Linked DNA regions of Lonchura striata. Each later gene encodes a partner of the first gene's protein in a complex. Links are inferred from orthologs where the notes say so. Each region holds a gene or a part of one and is shown in the gene's direction. Other genes may lie near its edges.

Evidence for each region.
Region 2: the proteins of POR (region 1) and HMOX1 are in contact, whole or in part, in a crystal structure (PDB 3WKT), measured with the Rattus norvegicus proteins. The link is inferred for Lonchura striata from reciprocal best matches to the Homo sapiens genes POR and HMOX1. Residues at the interface, in NP_113764.1 of Rattus norvegicus: Thr88, Thr177, Asp208, Asp209, Arg313, Arg514, Lys515, Gln517, Arg519, Leu520, Phe522, Lys523, His626, Lys665, Met667, Thr668, Lys669, Gly670, Tyr672; in NP_036712.1 of Rattus norvegicus: Asp12, Ser14, Glu15, Gln38, Ala75, Pro76, Glu81, Lys149, Ile150, Lys153, Ser171, Asp173, Asn174, Thr176, Lys177, Phe178, Lys179, Gln180, Leu181, Arg183, Ala184, Arg185, Asn187, Thr188.

The regions. Positions count from the first base shown.
Region 1 is NC_134622.1:5,833,542-5,841,256, reverse strand, and holds the start of POR (NADPH--cytochrome P450 reductase), read left to right. Parts: upstream 1-4,480; 5' UTR 4,481-4,584; exon of another isoform or gene 4,585-4,593; intron 4,594-6,581; 5' UTR 6,582-6,718; intron 6,719-7,715. UniProt on the Homo sapiens protein: This enzyme is required for electron transfer from NADP to cytochrome P450 in microsomes. It can also provide electron transfer to heme oxygenase and cytochrome B5.
Region 2 is NC_134607.1:22,464,610-22,472,119, forward strand, and holds the start of HMOX1 (heme oxygenase 1), read left to right. Parts: upstream 1-4,246; 5' UTR 4,247-4,334; coding exon 4,335-4,366; intron 4,367-4,681; coding exon 4,682-4,802; intron 4,803-7,094; coding exon 7,095-7,510.

The DNA.
Region 1 (7,715 bases):
TGGAGTCTTGCTGTGCTGCATAAAAAAGTGCTCCATCAAGTACAAAGTGCCATTCCTGCTCTTGGAGATGTTCTTGCAGTGCCTCACCCATCCCCAGAAACTCAACAGCCTCAAGACTCCTCCCTGCTCTCGGTGAGCCTGGCCATAGGCAGCTCTGGCAGCTGCACGTTCCAAACCACATCCCTGCCTCTCATTTTTCCACCATCAGGCTGTGAACAAACCCTGTGTTGTCATCCAGCTGCTTGACTTCTCCAGCAGCCCCTCTGGAATGACTGCCATGGTCCCATGTGGGACACAGGGGCTTTCTTTTGGAGGAGACCAATGTCAGTGCTGAGAACTTGCACCTCACAGAAGTAAAACATGAGTACGAAGCTCTTCTTGTGAAGGTGAGCACCCCAGGCAGGTCTTTCAGCAGGAGGATGCAGCAACTTGGGAACTAACTTGGAGTTGGGGGACAACTCTGTTTCATACCTGATTATTTCTCTCCTCTGTGGGATCACATATGGATTTGATTTCATGGTCCTGTTTTTCCTGCTGCCAGCAATTGTATTGTTATACTTTTAGTGTGGAACAAGAGCGGGATAAGGAGCTTGTTTGGAATTTAAAAGCATGTTTTTAATACCAGGAAAGAAATGCCAGAGAGAACATTGAAATATTGACACTCCGTTCCTGTTAGTGCCTTGATTTTCCTCCTTGTGTAGTCCTTGCCCGTAAACTTAGGAATTTTACCACTTATTTTTTCCAAAAGGGTGATGAAGATCAACAGCAATCACAAATGTTGTGTATCTCCAAACTGTGAACTTGAAATAGAATCTGAAGGACTGGTTTTTCTCTGGGTTGGTTTATAAGTGGGGAGCTGGAGCGTGCCTCTCTGGGGGATGGGTGGGGTGGGATCTGTGGGATGGGAATCAGGGGGATGGGATCCCTGGGGCAGGATCAGGGGGATGGGATCAGTGGGGCAGGATTTGAGGGGTGGGATCAGTGGGATGGGATCAGTGGGGCAGGATTTGAGGGGTGGGATCTGTGGGATGGGATCTCTGGAGGATGGGATCTCTGGGGATGGAATCAGTGGGATGGGATCTCTGGGGGTGGGATCAGTGGGATGGGATCTCTGGGGGTGGGATCAATGGGATGGGATCTCTGGGGGTGGAATCAGTGGGATGGGCGCAGTTGCATGTCAGGCTGGTGGCTGGGGACGAGCACTGGGGACAAGCGGTACTGCACGCTGGAAAACGCTGGAATCCGGTTGTTTTCGCGTGTCCAACTCTTACCAGTCGATCGGGTGAGAGTCGCTCTCCCCGCAGAGCTGTCAAAGGGATGCGTGTTTCCAGGGAGCAGTTTCCTGGCTTTACAGCAGTAGAGGAGGCCCTGTAAGAGTCACCGTGGGAACTGCCCCATTCCCAGCTGGTGCAAACCTCCCTCCAGGAGGGAAGGAACAGGTCCTTTCCATGCTGGGACAACATAATTACCACAGCCTTCCAGGTGAGCTCTGAGCACAAAACCACAGTTTGGAGTTTCTTTCTTTCTGCTCCCAGATCTTTTGGGAGCTTCTCGGTGACCGTGGCAGATCACTTGGTCTCTCTGATTTTTACAGCTTCCACCATGTCCCCAGGAGTGTTCTGAGCCCAGCTGCTCCTACTGGTCATGTGCAATGTGATGGATTTGTTTTCAATGCCCTTCAGATTGATGTTTGAGGAGATTTTTTTTTTCTGTTCCCTGCTTTTCTGAGGGCATCTGTTCCACAGCAAAATGCTCTTGGACAGTGGAGTCCAACAAGTCCCAGTTCACCAGGGCTGGGGGTGAATTCAGAACTCATCACCCAGGGAAGTGAAGTTGCTGAGAGGGAGGAAACAGGTTGGGATGAAACATGTAAGGCTGAGAAGAGCATTTAAATTTGGAAGAGAAGGAGGTAAAAGTCATAAGCTTGCTGGGCTTTGGCATCTGCCTATCTAAGCTCAGAGTAATGTTACTCATCACACATTGCAGTACCCGCTCATTTCCTTGGTGGGGAGACAGAGAATTGAAGTTCCCAAAGCAGGAAAAAAAGAAAAGAAAAGAAAAGAAAAGAAAAGAAAAGAAAAGAAAAGAAAAGAAAAGAAAAGAAAAGAAAAGAAAAGAAAAGAAAAGAAAAGAAAAGAAAAGAAAAGAAAAGAAAAGAAAAGAAAAGAAAAGAAAAGAAAAGAAAAGAAAAGAAAAGAAAAGAAAAAGAAATCAATAATCTCCAGTTCAGCCTGGGGTGGCTGCCCTTGGGGTGGCTGCCCCTGGGAACGTGCTGTCCCTGGAGGTTTGCTATTTTGTGCCTCTGGCTCGTTCCTAGTAAAACTGCCACTGCATTCCATGCCAGAATGTGTCTGTGCACAGGGTGTGCAGAGAGTCCAGAAAGCCCCTTGGGTTGCCCCCATGTCCTCAGAGGGTCACTGCAGAGTGACAGTCTGGGGACAGTGCTGGGAGCAGAGCCAGCTGCTCCCAGTCCTTGGAGTAGTGCTCCTGCCATGGAAAAGGTTCTTTGGAAGTCCAAATCCATCCCCTCTGCTCTTCAGCTCCCACCATGGTGCAAGGGAAAAGGAGTCAGGGATACACGAGGAAAGCAGAACTGACTTGGACCTCCACTGCTGCCCCATGCAGGGGTGAGGGGGGACCCACAAAGTGGGGAGGCCTGCCAGGGGACATGGGCGCTGGAAGGAAAACAGGTCTGTGTTTCTTTGCTTGCCCGTCATTAACTTTTGGCCAAGCACACCCATGCAGACATCCTGACTGGGGGCCAGGTTCCCTGTGCCAGGGCCAGGACACTGCCAAAGACCACCTCCATGGCTGTCCCATGGTGTCCCCTGTTGTTTTCTGGCACTCTGAGGGTTCTGTGGGCAAAAGTTCAGCCTCAAGCTGTGCTGGGAACAGAGGAGAGCTGGAGAGGTGGGAGAAATCGGTACAAAGTGCTGACCAACCAGGTCTCTGTAGGCTGCAGGACTCTGCTGCTTGCCCCTGGGGGGTTTGGGCTGGGTGTGATGAGCTCCCAGCTTCTTCCCTGAGGGGACAGAATAGGACAGGCTGTGCCATAATGCCAGTCTGGGCACCTGATGGGTTGACCCCAGCCACAGACCTGCTCTGTGCTGCCATCCCCTCAGTGCCACTGGGATCTTTAACCATGTCCATTCACCCCACGGGGTATGGTCACAGAACAGCCACACCAGGGAGCTTCCATGGGGTCAATCCCAAAACTGATGTGGGTGGCACCAGTACTGAGGTGACCTCCCACCCCTTGACCCTCTGCTGAAATGCTGTCAGGAAACAGGGCGTCCCTGCAGCCCTGGGCTGGTGTTCTTCAGGTCTGTGCCCCCTCCTCACACCTCTTCAGCTGCCTGCCAGGCCCAGCTCGAACTTTGGACCTTCCCCAAGGGTTTTATTGACTCTGGAGCGAGCGTCAACACAGCGATGGCGTCAGGATGGTGACTTTGGATGTGCCAGTGCCCAGCAGCCAAAGGGAGAGGACCCAGCCTGGGGTGACCCCACACAGCCATGGGGCTGCTCAGTGGGGTCAGGGCAAGCTGTGCTTCTGGCTTTGGCCAAGCTGGAAACACCAGAGTTGTAACCCAGCTTCCTCCTCCAAAAAAAAAACAACAGGAAAGCGAGCAGCAGTCCCTGTGGGACATGGGGTCTGGAGGTCTGGGTTGTGAAATGTCCCACTGGGACTGCTGGGGATGCTTCCAGAGCTGCTTGAGCAACTTCCTAGTGTGGCAGCGAGAGAAAGACCACCCCAAAACATCCAAATCATCTGGGCTGTGGTTAAATCAGGAGCATGTGCTTCCCTGGGTGAAGCAGCTCCCTGGCTCCCACAGAGGATGGCAGTGACTGGGTACCAGCCTGCACCTCGGGGTCCCCTTGACCACCCACGGGGCCCTGGTCTGGGCAGTGACCTTGTGGGGCACTGGGAGTCCCACAGCAGCACCCAGGAGTGGCCACAGACAGACAGGGTCCTGGGTCTGCAGGTGCTGGCTCAGCCCAGAGTGGTGTCCAAGAGTGACCTCAGCACCCTGACCCCAGTTCGTGACTCCACAGTAACCCAAGCCCTGCTCCCACTGTCACCCCAACTCTGACCCTGCCAGGACCCCAACGCCCACCCCCGAACCACAACGCTGATCCAACCCTGCCTCCCCTCCTGAGCCTGGCCCCCAGGCTGAGCCCCTGCTTGCACCCACCGTGACCTCTGGACCCTGTTCTTCTGCACCCTGACCCCACCCGTGACCCCCCCACGCCCCAATTCTGGCCGACCCCTGACTCCACCCGTGACCTCCCCACGCCCCAATTCTGACCGACCCCCACTTTCCCCCGGTCCCTCCCGGCGCTCCTGTCCCTTTAAGACCCCCGTCCTGGGGCTGTACCATGCGCCGCCGCAGAGGGGTGATCTCCACAGGCAGGCGCGCTCGCCGCCTATTGGCGGGCGGCGGGGGCGGAGCGTGCTCCCCCGCGCGCGTGCGCGGGTGGTGCGGCCCGCTGTACGTGCCGGCCGCGCCGGGGCCGCGGGAGCCGCCAGCGGCAGACGGGCCGGAGCGGCGGAGCGTGCGGGACGCGGGGAACGGGCGCTTGGGGGTGAGGAGGGTGCGGGACCGGGGGTCCTCTGGGGCTGAGGCGGGGGGCTGAGCTCGCCGCCGGAGCCCTTTGTGCTGGGGAGGGGCGGTCCGGCACCCCTGGTGGGGTCGGTGTGGGATGGCGGCTCTCGCTGTGTGGGGGGACTGGCTGCGTGTTACGGGACTGACACAGGGTCCCGTGTGGCGGGTGAGTGGCACCGCTGTCGCTGGCGGGGAGGGCGATGTGAATGGAGCTCTCTTTGAGGGGGGACTGGGATGCCCAGAGCCCCCCGTTCACTGCGGGGTCTGGTGTGAGTGGGCATCCTGTTACTGGGTTATTGAGGTGCTTATAGAACCTTTTTACTGGAGGGGTATGGGAGGGCTGGGACGGCCACGTTATCTGGGCAGGGTGCTGTGGCTGTCCCCTGGTATTTGGGGGGGACCTGGATGGCCAGAGCTCTCTTATGTGGGGAGTCTGATGTGACTGATCCCCTGATAGGAATTGGGATGACCAGAGCCTGTCTTGTTTGGGAGCACCTGGTGGTGCTGAGCCCCTGTTCCTGGGGAGCCTGGTGTGAGCGATGTGCCCCGTAGGGCAGGCATGGCCCCGCTGTTATTTGGGGTGCCCCACCACGCCTGTCACCCCGGGGCTGGGGTGATGCCCACCCTGCCTTGCTTCCACAGCACTGAAGGGCTGCTCAGACTTACCCCATCCCGGGCTGGTGCTGGTTAAAAGCCTTTAACGAGCTTAATTTTCTGGCACATCCCTGGAGAACGTTATTCCCAGCGTTTAATTGATACCTTTGCTGCAGGCTGGGGTGTTCCGCTGTTTTTCCATCTATTTCACTTTATAAACTGCTGGGGTGTGGGAAGGCTGTTTGCTCCTGATTTTTCCTGATGGAGTTTGTTGGAAGAATGAAAGTATTCACCTATAGAGTGTGTGCTTGTCAAAGGAAATAATGGGAACCCAGTGGTTTTGGGAATATTGAGGGTGGAGAGGGTGAAGGTACCTGGATGATGGTGTTGGGAGTTAGTCATCAGAGTGGAATTGGTTCTTGGGGAGTTGCCTTAGTTGCAGGAGTAAGCACTGCTGGTGCAGCTTGGAGTGTGCTTTGTTCTTCAGGGTTAGCTTTTGGAGTGTGAATGGAAATAGGAATGCTTAGTGGAATGTGTACAGAGAAGGGATCACTGAGGCTCTCTGTGAGTCTGGAAAAGTGAAATGGGTTTGTGTTTTTACAGCTCTTTTTAAAAAGTAGGAACATATATCCGGCTGAGAAGCTGGAAAAGTGCAAGGAAGAAGGAATCAGGTCTCTGTTTCTGAGTTGTGGAAGTGAATCACAGATAGCGTTGGTGGGGACATCCCCTTCACAACAGATCTCTACACTTTGTGTGGGCTTGTGAGGAGCTGTGGGGTTTCGTAATTTTTTTTGCTTAGTGGGGTGCAGTGGTGTACACATCCCTTTTTTTAGATGGAAGGGAATGGGCTTTCTTCCAATATTTCTGTAATTCTCTGAGAAATCCCGAGGAGCTGTTGCACATAAGCAAAGCAGCTCGCTGATTAATCTGCTGCAAATGAGGAAATCGGTGCTTTGTCTGGGAGGGCTGCTGAGCCAGACCCTTCCTGGAAAACCCAGCATTGTCTCAGTACAGGTTTTTCTTGGGCTGGTTGACAGCACTGAGGCAGGGTGTGCATGGCATGGAGTGTGTCTTAGTTTTGCACGTGGATGTGATGGTGCACGACAACGGTATTTGCAGAACAGGGAGCAGGGAGGATACAGAGCTACCGGAACTAACACCAGTTGAACACCTTCTTTTAATCTTTGAATGTGAAAGAAAGGAGGGTGTAGTGTCACAGATCCAGCTTAACACCCTGTTAATTAGTCCTGCTCTAATTGTGACAGAGAAGAACCTCTTGCTTGTCATCACTTCACAGTTGCTTCCTGTTCAGTCAGTAATTTCTGGGTTTGTGTCTCCTGGAAAGCCACGTGCCTTCTGCAACTTGCCTTTTGTTTCTTGCAGAGCAGCTGGAGGAGGTCAACAGGGCCTTACAACCAAAACTCTTTGAAATATCTCAAGGGAGACTTTGCTGCTCACCGCCCTCCGTGCTGGAACTCACAGGCCCCACCAACTCCTGTTTGCTGACCCATAGGTGCAAGGTAACCCCTTTCTTTTGAGTGTCACAGGCTGTGGAGCATCTCTGGGTGCAGCTGGGTTTGGGGAGGGTGGCTGGCAATGGGTGGGAGTGATGGTTTCTTTACCTGCAGCAAAAGCAAAGTGTGGAACTATCTGACTGAAATCCCATTTGGTCTTTGCTCTCTCCTTTGCCTGTTGGGATACAGCAAACTTTGTGTTTGCTCAGTTCTGAAGGACTGAGGAAAAGGCTTCCCTGCTCAGGTTTGTGCTCCTGCCATCTGCTCCCGTGGTATAAAAGAAAACCACTTGCAGGTACCTCTGTGGGCATTGAACTTTGTTCTGTTTCCTGATGTCAACTCTCCTGCCTCAAAAAACACAATTCTAAGAACTTGCATAATTTGCTTTCCCAACGTGATCATTTGATCCCAGTGATGAGATTACTTTGTACACGCCGTTGTAGAGAGTGAATCACCAGCCCTGCAGTGACAGGTGCATCTCTGCCAAGAGTGCTTTTTTATAGGCTTGAAAATTTCATAGGTCAGAACAATTCATAATTGCAGGCTGCTTGTAATCTCTTGCTGTTTGTCCCTGAGTAAACATTTCAGGTTAATTGTGGGCTGCTATCACCCATGGAATCCAGACAGAGAGACCAGAAGCCATGTCTGGTGGCTTCTGGAGAGCCACAAGTCCAAAGAGTGGCTGAGTTTGACTCATGGTGGCAGATTATTGTAGTATTTTTGCTTAGTAATCAGCCATGTCCATGCCTCCAGTCACTCCTTTGCAAGGAATGGAGGTATTGATTTACTTACCTTCCTTTCTTGCTGTGTGGAGTAGGAGATAGCAAGGTTTGGAGTTAGAGATGGGGTTGGATTTTTCTCCTTGGTAAAATCTGGCTCTGGCAGTGCACGGGAAGTCTGCTGGGAAGGTTTAACTAGCAGCCTGGGGAGTTGATACTTTTGTGGTGCTGGATCTTGCTGTGTGGTTGTGAAACACATCAATTGACTCTCTTTCGTGGGTCAT
Region 2 (7,510 bases), on another chromosome or scaffold:
CCACAGTTGTGGCACTGAAACAAAGGAGGCAGCAGCACTGACTGAAACATTTGCACAAATGGGATTTTATTTGCGAACTCTGTCCCATTCCCTTCCACACCTCCCTTTGGTTGCCAAAGCAGCTCCTAGCTGGACACAGGATTGATTCCCATGACCACCAAGACTCTACGAAGCATGGTGGGCCCTATGTACTCTCTCCCAAAATTTCAGCCCAGTGTACCTATAACCTGCTGTGTGCTTAAGGTAACTGCCTGACTCTGGTCAGGCACATGCCTTGCAGGGCACTTGCTCTCCCTTCTTCTCCCCATTCTGTTTCCAGACAGCCCAGGCTCTCTCCTTGCTCATAGCTATGTGCTGGAGACACCAGTGTGCTGCAGCACACACATACCCATACATCTGTGAATATAATTATTGTAATCTGCATTTCCTGTTTTTGTCACGCTGGTTCATTTATCCTGGGAAATTTGCCTGTGCCTCCATCTCCTACCACACTGTTTTCCAGGGTTCCCGTGTGGGGGGTTACCTAACACAGCCATGTCTGTCTATACAACCCTCCAGTAGTACGAGCAGTGCCAGCCCCAGGGACAGCTGCAGCGCCTGAGCTCTCCATAGGGATTTCCAGTGCATTGGACGCTCAACCTCCTTTTTCTCCATCTTCATCTTTGATCTAGATTGGAATTTTTAGATGCTGAGAGACCAGTGAGCACAGTCAGTTCAGCGAAGGCGGGGCTGGGAGAGGCAGTATCCTTTGGTAAACACAAATTAACACACAGGATATCCCTGTACACTCCAGTACAAACTCCTTTCTCCAGCAAGTAATTTTAAGCAATCTGTAACCCTTTTCCCCATACCATTACACAGCAAATCCTCATCACCGAGTGATGATGCAGCAGCCTGGCTTGCACTCAGCTTTCCGAGTGCAAACCAGGCAGCTGCATTTTGCTGTGTCACGGTTTGAGAGAGCCCATTAGTCCCTCTGAGCTGGCTAAGGCCGGTTTTCCCCATGAAAATGGAGCTGAGCTGCTGGGAGCTACCAGCACGGAACAGCGCTACCCACAAGGGACTCAAGAGAGCTGACTTTGCATCCCGTGACTGCCAGTGTAACTAGACATTTCTGGCCATAAATCTGCTGGCAAAATAGGCTGTTAATGTACAAAGAGGAGAAAATTCCCCACTTCCCTGTTCCACATGGAAACACTGACCCCTCAATAACTTTCTGTTGTTTTTAACCATTCATCTCCCATCTCATGACTAAGCATTTTCTCAGGGGCTGGGATGTGCAGACAGGCTTTTAAGTCCAGCAAGAACTTTTACAAATATCTTGCCTGAGGCTACTTTCTTCATCTTTGCTAGAAATCCCCTGGGCAGTTTTGCTGGTGTCCTCACAGTGAGTAGCTCTGGCACTACCCAGACGCAGCTCACTGGAAAGGCAGGAGACAGCAGGGCTTCTGGCAAGCACAGTGGAGACCACAGCTCTGAGACTTGATAGTCAAGCAGAATTTCCTACTGACTGGATTTGGGCTGGGCTCTGATTTCCCATGGCCCACTCTGCTCTGGGAGCCTGTTTGCTCCTTCCACCAAAAGCACTCACCTCCCTCCCCATTCATTGCTCCCAAGTGGCAACTTCCAAAGTTCTCTTTGAGGAGGAGATGGTCCCTCACAAATCCCTGCTGGCATGTTTGCTTGCTCGGTGGCACTGACCTCCCTCCCATCAGCAACAGCACTGCAGAAGCAATTCAAGCCCTTGCTGCAGAACACTGAAGGGGTCAGAAATGCTCCAGGCTAGCAACTGCAAAGATGATGAAACCCCACTTTCAGTTCTCCTTCCATCTTGCTGCAGGGCCTTTGGGCCTTTCCAGAGAGCTAGGCTGTGTCTCACAGCTGCTCCATCCCAAGAAACCCAAATCAGAGAGAGATCAGACAGTATAAATCACTTATGGGGCATGGCTTGCTTGTCTGCACCTTTGCAAGTCTCCTGGCAGAGGTGAGTTGCATCTCTTGTGACCTGCCCAGGGGAAGGTAAAGCCCAAAGAGCCAGAAGAGGTTCTGCTTCATGTTCTGGGACAGTATGGTTACAAGCCAGAAAACCTACCTGGAATGGTAGCAACAAGACTAGAGACCCTCTCTTTCTTCCCCCACAGTCTCACTCACAATCCTGGGTTAAAAGGGAAAAGGACTTTTGGATATATCTTTTATAGGGCTTCCAAGCATGCAGCTTCCTGGAAGAAGACAGGTGGGCATGCTGGAGACAAAATCATGGGCTTGAAAGCACCCATAAAGTCCTTGGGAAGAACTGGGTACATTGCCAGGGCTGCAGGTGAAAGGAGGGGCTAGGCTTGAGGATTGGATTTTTTTCATGTTATTTCACAAAATGAGTAATATACTCTCATAATATAATTCTTATTCTCATATAATTCCCATCTATTTCCTACTTCCCTCCACCAGAACTAGAGGTTCAATTTGTGCTCCAGCTTCCCCTGTCAGAATAGGACTCACTGAAAATGACAGAAAATGAAAACTTTGAGTTATGCCAGAGGGAAACATTCATTTTGAGGCCATTCCTGTGGCAAACTGTAGTTTCAATGTTTTCAGGAGGGACTCGCCATGGAGCTGTCTGCTTTCTGCCCTCTCAGGAGATGTTTGGGGTTTTGTCACACTTGCTTCGAAGATCCAGACATCCTGATAAATTTATTTTACCTTCCAGAAAAGCAAGTAAGTTGTCTGCAGTGGCATGGGGGTAAGAATGGAACATGTCAGCTTTTGCCAGCGTGCACTGTTGCTTTAAAAGACAAAAGCAAGACAGGAAAAGTCTGGCCGAGTCAGGGTGGAAATGCTGAGTAATCCTTCCTGAACGCTGCATGCCAGATGTCTGCTGGAGTCAAAAAAAGAAGCATAGAAGAATACATTTTCTAGAACAGCTTTTTAACCTACAGCCCCCAACCCTGCTGGGACTGGTGTGGGTGCAGGGACAGGGAGACAGGCAAGGTGCTGGCTTGGATAGCAGCATCCACAGAGAAGGCTGGCTGCAGAGGGACAGCAGATGCCACAGTCCTTCTCCTTCCACCCAGGCTCTGCCTCCCCACCACCCCCTGCCCCACTGTACCAGGGAGTTTCTCACACCCACTGAAGCAGGGGAGTGGTGGCTCTAAGTGCCCTGCTCTTTTGGGCTGAGCACAAATGTGTGTTTTCCAAAGTACAGCCAGCTAGTGCATCACCTGTCCCTGCTAGCCCAGCTTCCAGCATAACTACAGGTGGGAAAGAAGGGCCCAGCTTCATCTGTTGGCTGCTTCACTGACCACTTCATAAAAAAAAAAAAAAAAAAAAAAAAAAAAAAAAAGTTAAAAAAACCCCCACAAACAAAAACAAACAGAAAATCCAGCAGAGCAACAGCTATTTGCAGAAGCACCATGTCCAACTCTTTTAGCTCTTTTCCCAAATCAGAGTAATTATTTGCCTTTGAAAGTCTTTGCAAACTTTCTCAGTTTCCCCCAAGTCCTGTATGATATCTTTTCAGCTACCCCAGCCTTCTGGGTATCTAGGAGATGGTGTACAATTTTCCTAAATTGCCCTGCACACTGCTGTGGTGACAAGAGGAGCCAGCTATCAAACAAATCAGATGCCATTGTTTCCATGAGCAGGAGGGCATGGAGTGGGTTTGGCTGTGCATCGGTGCTGGCACACCTGTGTTGGCTCTGTGCAAAGTGGCAGGATTTACCACCAAGGGCAAGGGGGAGCTGCACAAGGACAGGTCTGGCACCTGCAGGCCAGAGCCGGTGCATGCCTGAGCACAGGCACAGGAGGTGGGATGGTTACACCTGAGCTGTGCTGGAGCAGGGGAGTGCTGGATTGGCTCTCCAGGCACACACACTGGGGTGCAGGGTGAGGAGGCTGCCCTCTGTGCCCCAGGAATTACCTCTGTAAATCCACCCTCCTTGTCCGACCCCGCTGTCCCCAGGACAACGAGCACCTCTGGCAGGACCCGGGCTCTGCCTGCCACGGGCAAGGCACTGAAAGGGTTACAGAGCCAGGCACCCTCAAAAGAGAAGTTTCTGGACATCCTCTCGGTTTTGCTTAGTTATCAAGATGCATCTGGTGACTTCCTTCTGGTTCTTCGGGGCGGTGGGCCAGGAGAGGGTGACAGCCAGCTGGGAAGGGAAGTGCTGCTGTGTTGCAAGAAGCCTGCAGTCACCGAGGTCAGCGGTTCGCTGCTCACGTGGCCGGGCAGTATAAAGCTGGATGTGGGAGTCAGGCTGCCCAGCTCGGAGCTTCGCTGTCCCGGGAGCTGAGGGAAGCAGCAACGCGCGAGCAACAGCAGCGAGGCAGAGGAGACAAACATGGAAACTTCGCAGCCACACAGCTCCGAAAGGTGAGAGCGGGACGGGAATGGGAGGGAAGCGTTTTGGCAGAGGAGTGTTGTGTTTCTCCCCTTGCTTTTAAGGAATGCTGTTCCTGTTCCTGCTCTGCAGCATGCTGCTGCCTCCACCTCTGGATGGAGTGTGTCAGTCTTCCTTGCTCGGGACACTGTTTGGAAAGCTGGTTCGCTCTGGGTCCCATCCGCACCTCTCGAGAATGCTCTGCTCCTTTTTCTGCCATCCCAGGCTCCTCCTTTTGTCCTAGAGAGCTAAGATTTGTTTTGTCAGAGGAGACAGCTCTTAATACCTGTTTCACTGTTCCTCCCCAGGATGTCCGCAGACCTGTCAGAGCTGTTGAAGGAAGCTACCAAGGAGGTGCACGAGCAGGCAGAGAACACACCGTTCATGAGGAATTTCCAAAAGGGGCAGGTGTCACTCCAGGAGTTTAAGGTACTTCATAGCAGCGTTGCTTGGGGATGGGATTTCCTCACCAGTTAAATCAGATGGGCTGAGAGGGGACTAAAGTGGGGAGGATGGGACAGTACAGGAGGATAGGGGCATGATGTATCAGTATCTCCTATGAAAAACATCAAACTTCTACACCCTGAGGTCCTACTGGCTCCTCTTGCAGAAGGTGGGGAAGGGCTGTGCATATCACAATGGGCAGCCAAGCTGAAACAGGAGAAATAAGGACAAAGAGGTTGCTGGGACTAATGCTATTGCTTTTTTCTTCATAAATGCCTGAATGTTATTATTGCCAGTCACAGTTAATGGAGCTAGAACTATGTTCAGATACTTGCCCAAAAGAGGGAGAATTCTGTATCTACAACATTCTAGGCAGCTGCAGCTAGAAATAATAATGGGATGGTGACAGAGCGAGGATGTGGGATCATTGCTGGCACTGAACTTTGCATTGTCACTTGAGTTATACCACAGCTGAGATCATAAACAATAACTCAAAACCAGACTGAGTTTGAGTAATCTGTGTCTGCCGCTAACAAGCAGGAGCCTGTTGCCTTTTTCAAGATAAAAAGAAACATTTCCACACATTAGCCTAACCTGGCTAGATACAGTTCCTGGGATCTGAGCCATATAACAAAGCCAAGAGCAAAACCAAAGCAAACACCTGGGCCAGAATTCCTGAGAGGCTATAGGAAGTGACACATGGACTTGCAAATAACAGCTACTGATTCAACCTGTGGCTTAATTAATTTGTTGTTGAATTGTTCCTTGGCAAATAAATCCACAGAAGCAGGAAAGAGACTGCTTGTTTCTGACAGGTGACATTCAGAATACTTAGCCAAGCATAAATTCAATCTCAGGTGCTGACTTCCTGCTGTTAGAAATATGGCATTGGTTAGGCAGTGATCTTTGAGACAGGTTAGTGTGTAAAAAGACTTTCAGGAATAAAACTTGGTTTCTTAGATAATTTTTACATGCTGTCAGGTGAATGAGATGGAACATGGATTTTAAAAATTAACAAGTGTTTAAAAGCCATGTTTCTCATTAAACAACTACCTGCCTCTGAAAACAATTAGTTGAGTTACAATTTTGCTTAATTTGGAAGGCAATGTTCCCATGTTTTGTTTCTTTTCCGGTAGGTTGGGTAACAGGTTACTGTTTAAAAAACTGTTTTTGTTTACTCTCTTGGCAGACTTATATATCTGGCCTGCTACGTGACTCCCTAGATGGTGGATATTTGTTTCCACAACCAGTCACTGCCCATGTGCTTATCAAAGTCCTATTTTCTGGCACAGTGGGACAAGGTTGAAACAGGAACTCTCTCACTGCAGAACTGACTGCTTTGTGAGAAAGTAAACAGCTTTCTCTCCTGTGAGCAGCATAATCCCCCCTACCCAAACCTGACTCACCTCTACTACAACACCTTCATCTTTTACCATTTGCTGCTCACAAGGGTCCCAGGGTAAGGAAGGGGTGGTGTAGGTGTAACAGCCTCTGAAAACAGAATGCCTGGGGAAGGAAAGAACACAGCTATATTGTCTCAGATCATGTGGAAAAGCTGGCAGATAGAAGAAAGTATCACATAAGCTGGGAAAAACAACAATAACAATGGTTTCAAAATAGAGGGGAGAACACAGCCTCACAGCACTGCTTCACAAAGGCATCTTTCAGAGGCAGGCTGTGCTTCCAGATCCCTTTTATCTTGTTCCCTTGGGGCAACCGAGGAGGCAACCCCACTTGCATGCCTGAGTGAGCAGAGTAGTGGTGCCTCAGTTCCCAGGATGGTGGGATGCTGACAGGATGAATATGTTGAAAAATAACCAGGGTGTGTCATCATTTCACAAGGCCCCACAAAAGGAAGCCACATTTTGGAGCATTCAAATTTGAACAATGTACCAGAAAGGATACCTTTGGGAATACCCTCTCTATTGACTGAGGGAATGAGAAGAGACCAGGAATGCTTAAACAGAGCTCCACTTTACATCACATCAAGCTGCCAGACTTTAACTTGAAGGCAAGGCAGTGACTTCAAGAGAAAGTAAGACCAATATCTGCTGGAAAGGGCTCACCTGATTGCTGTCTCAAGCCGAAGGGAAGGGCTAAACAGTGTCTCCCTGTACCTTGCACTGTTTTCCACGCGGGAAATCTGCACCATCACAGGTGTTCGTGACTCATTGTGGGCGTGCCCACGAGTACCTTTATTCTTAGTACAATTTGTCCCACAGACTTGAAAACAATAAACAGATGCACCTATAGTTCATGCATTTTCTTCTCTTTCAGCTGGTTACAGCGTCCCTGTACTTTATCTACTCTGCTCTGGAGGAAGAGATCGAACGGAACAAGAACAATCCAGTTTATGCCCCTGTCTATTTTCCGGCGGAGCTGCACCGCAAAGCTGCCCTGGAGGAAGACTTGAAGTACTTCTATGGCAGGAACTGGAGGGAAGAGATCCCATGTCCTGAGGCGACTCAGAAATATGTTGAGAGGCTCCACTACATAGGCAAGAACGAGCCAGAGCTCCTGGTGGCCCATGCCTACACTCGCTATTTGGGAGACCTGTCTGGAGGGCAGGTGCTGAAGAAAATTGCCCAGAAGGCCCTCCAGCTGCCCAGCACTGGGGAGGGGCTGGCTTTCTTCACCTTTGATGGGGTCTCCAATGCCACCAAGTTCAAGCAGCTCTACCGCTCCCGCATGAA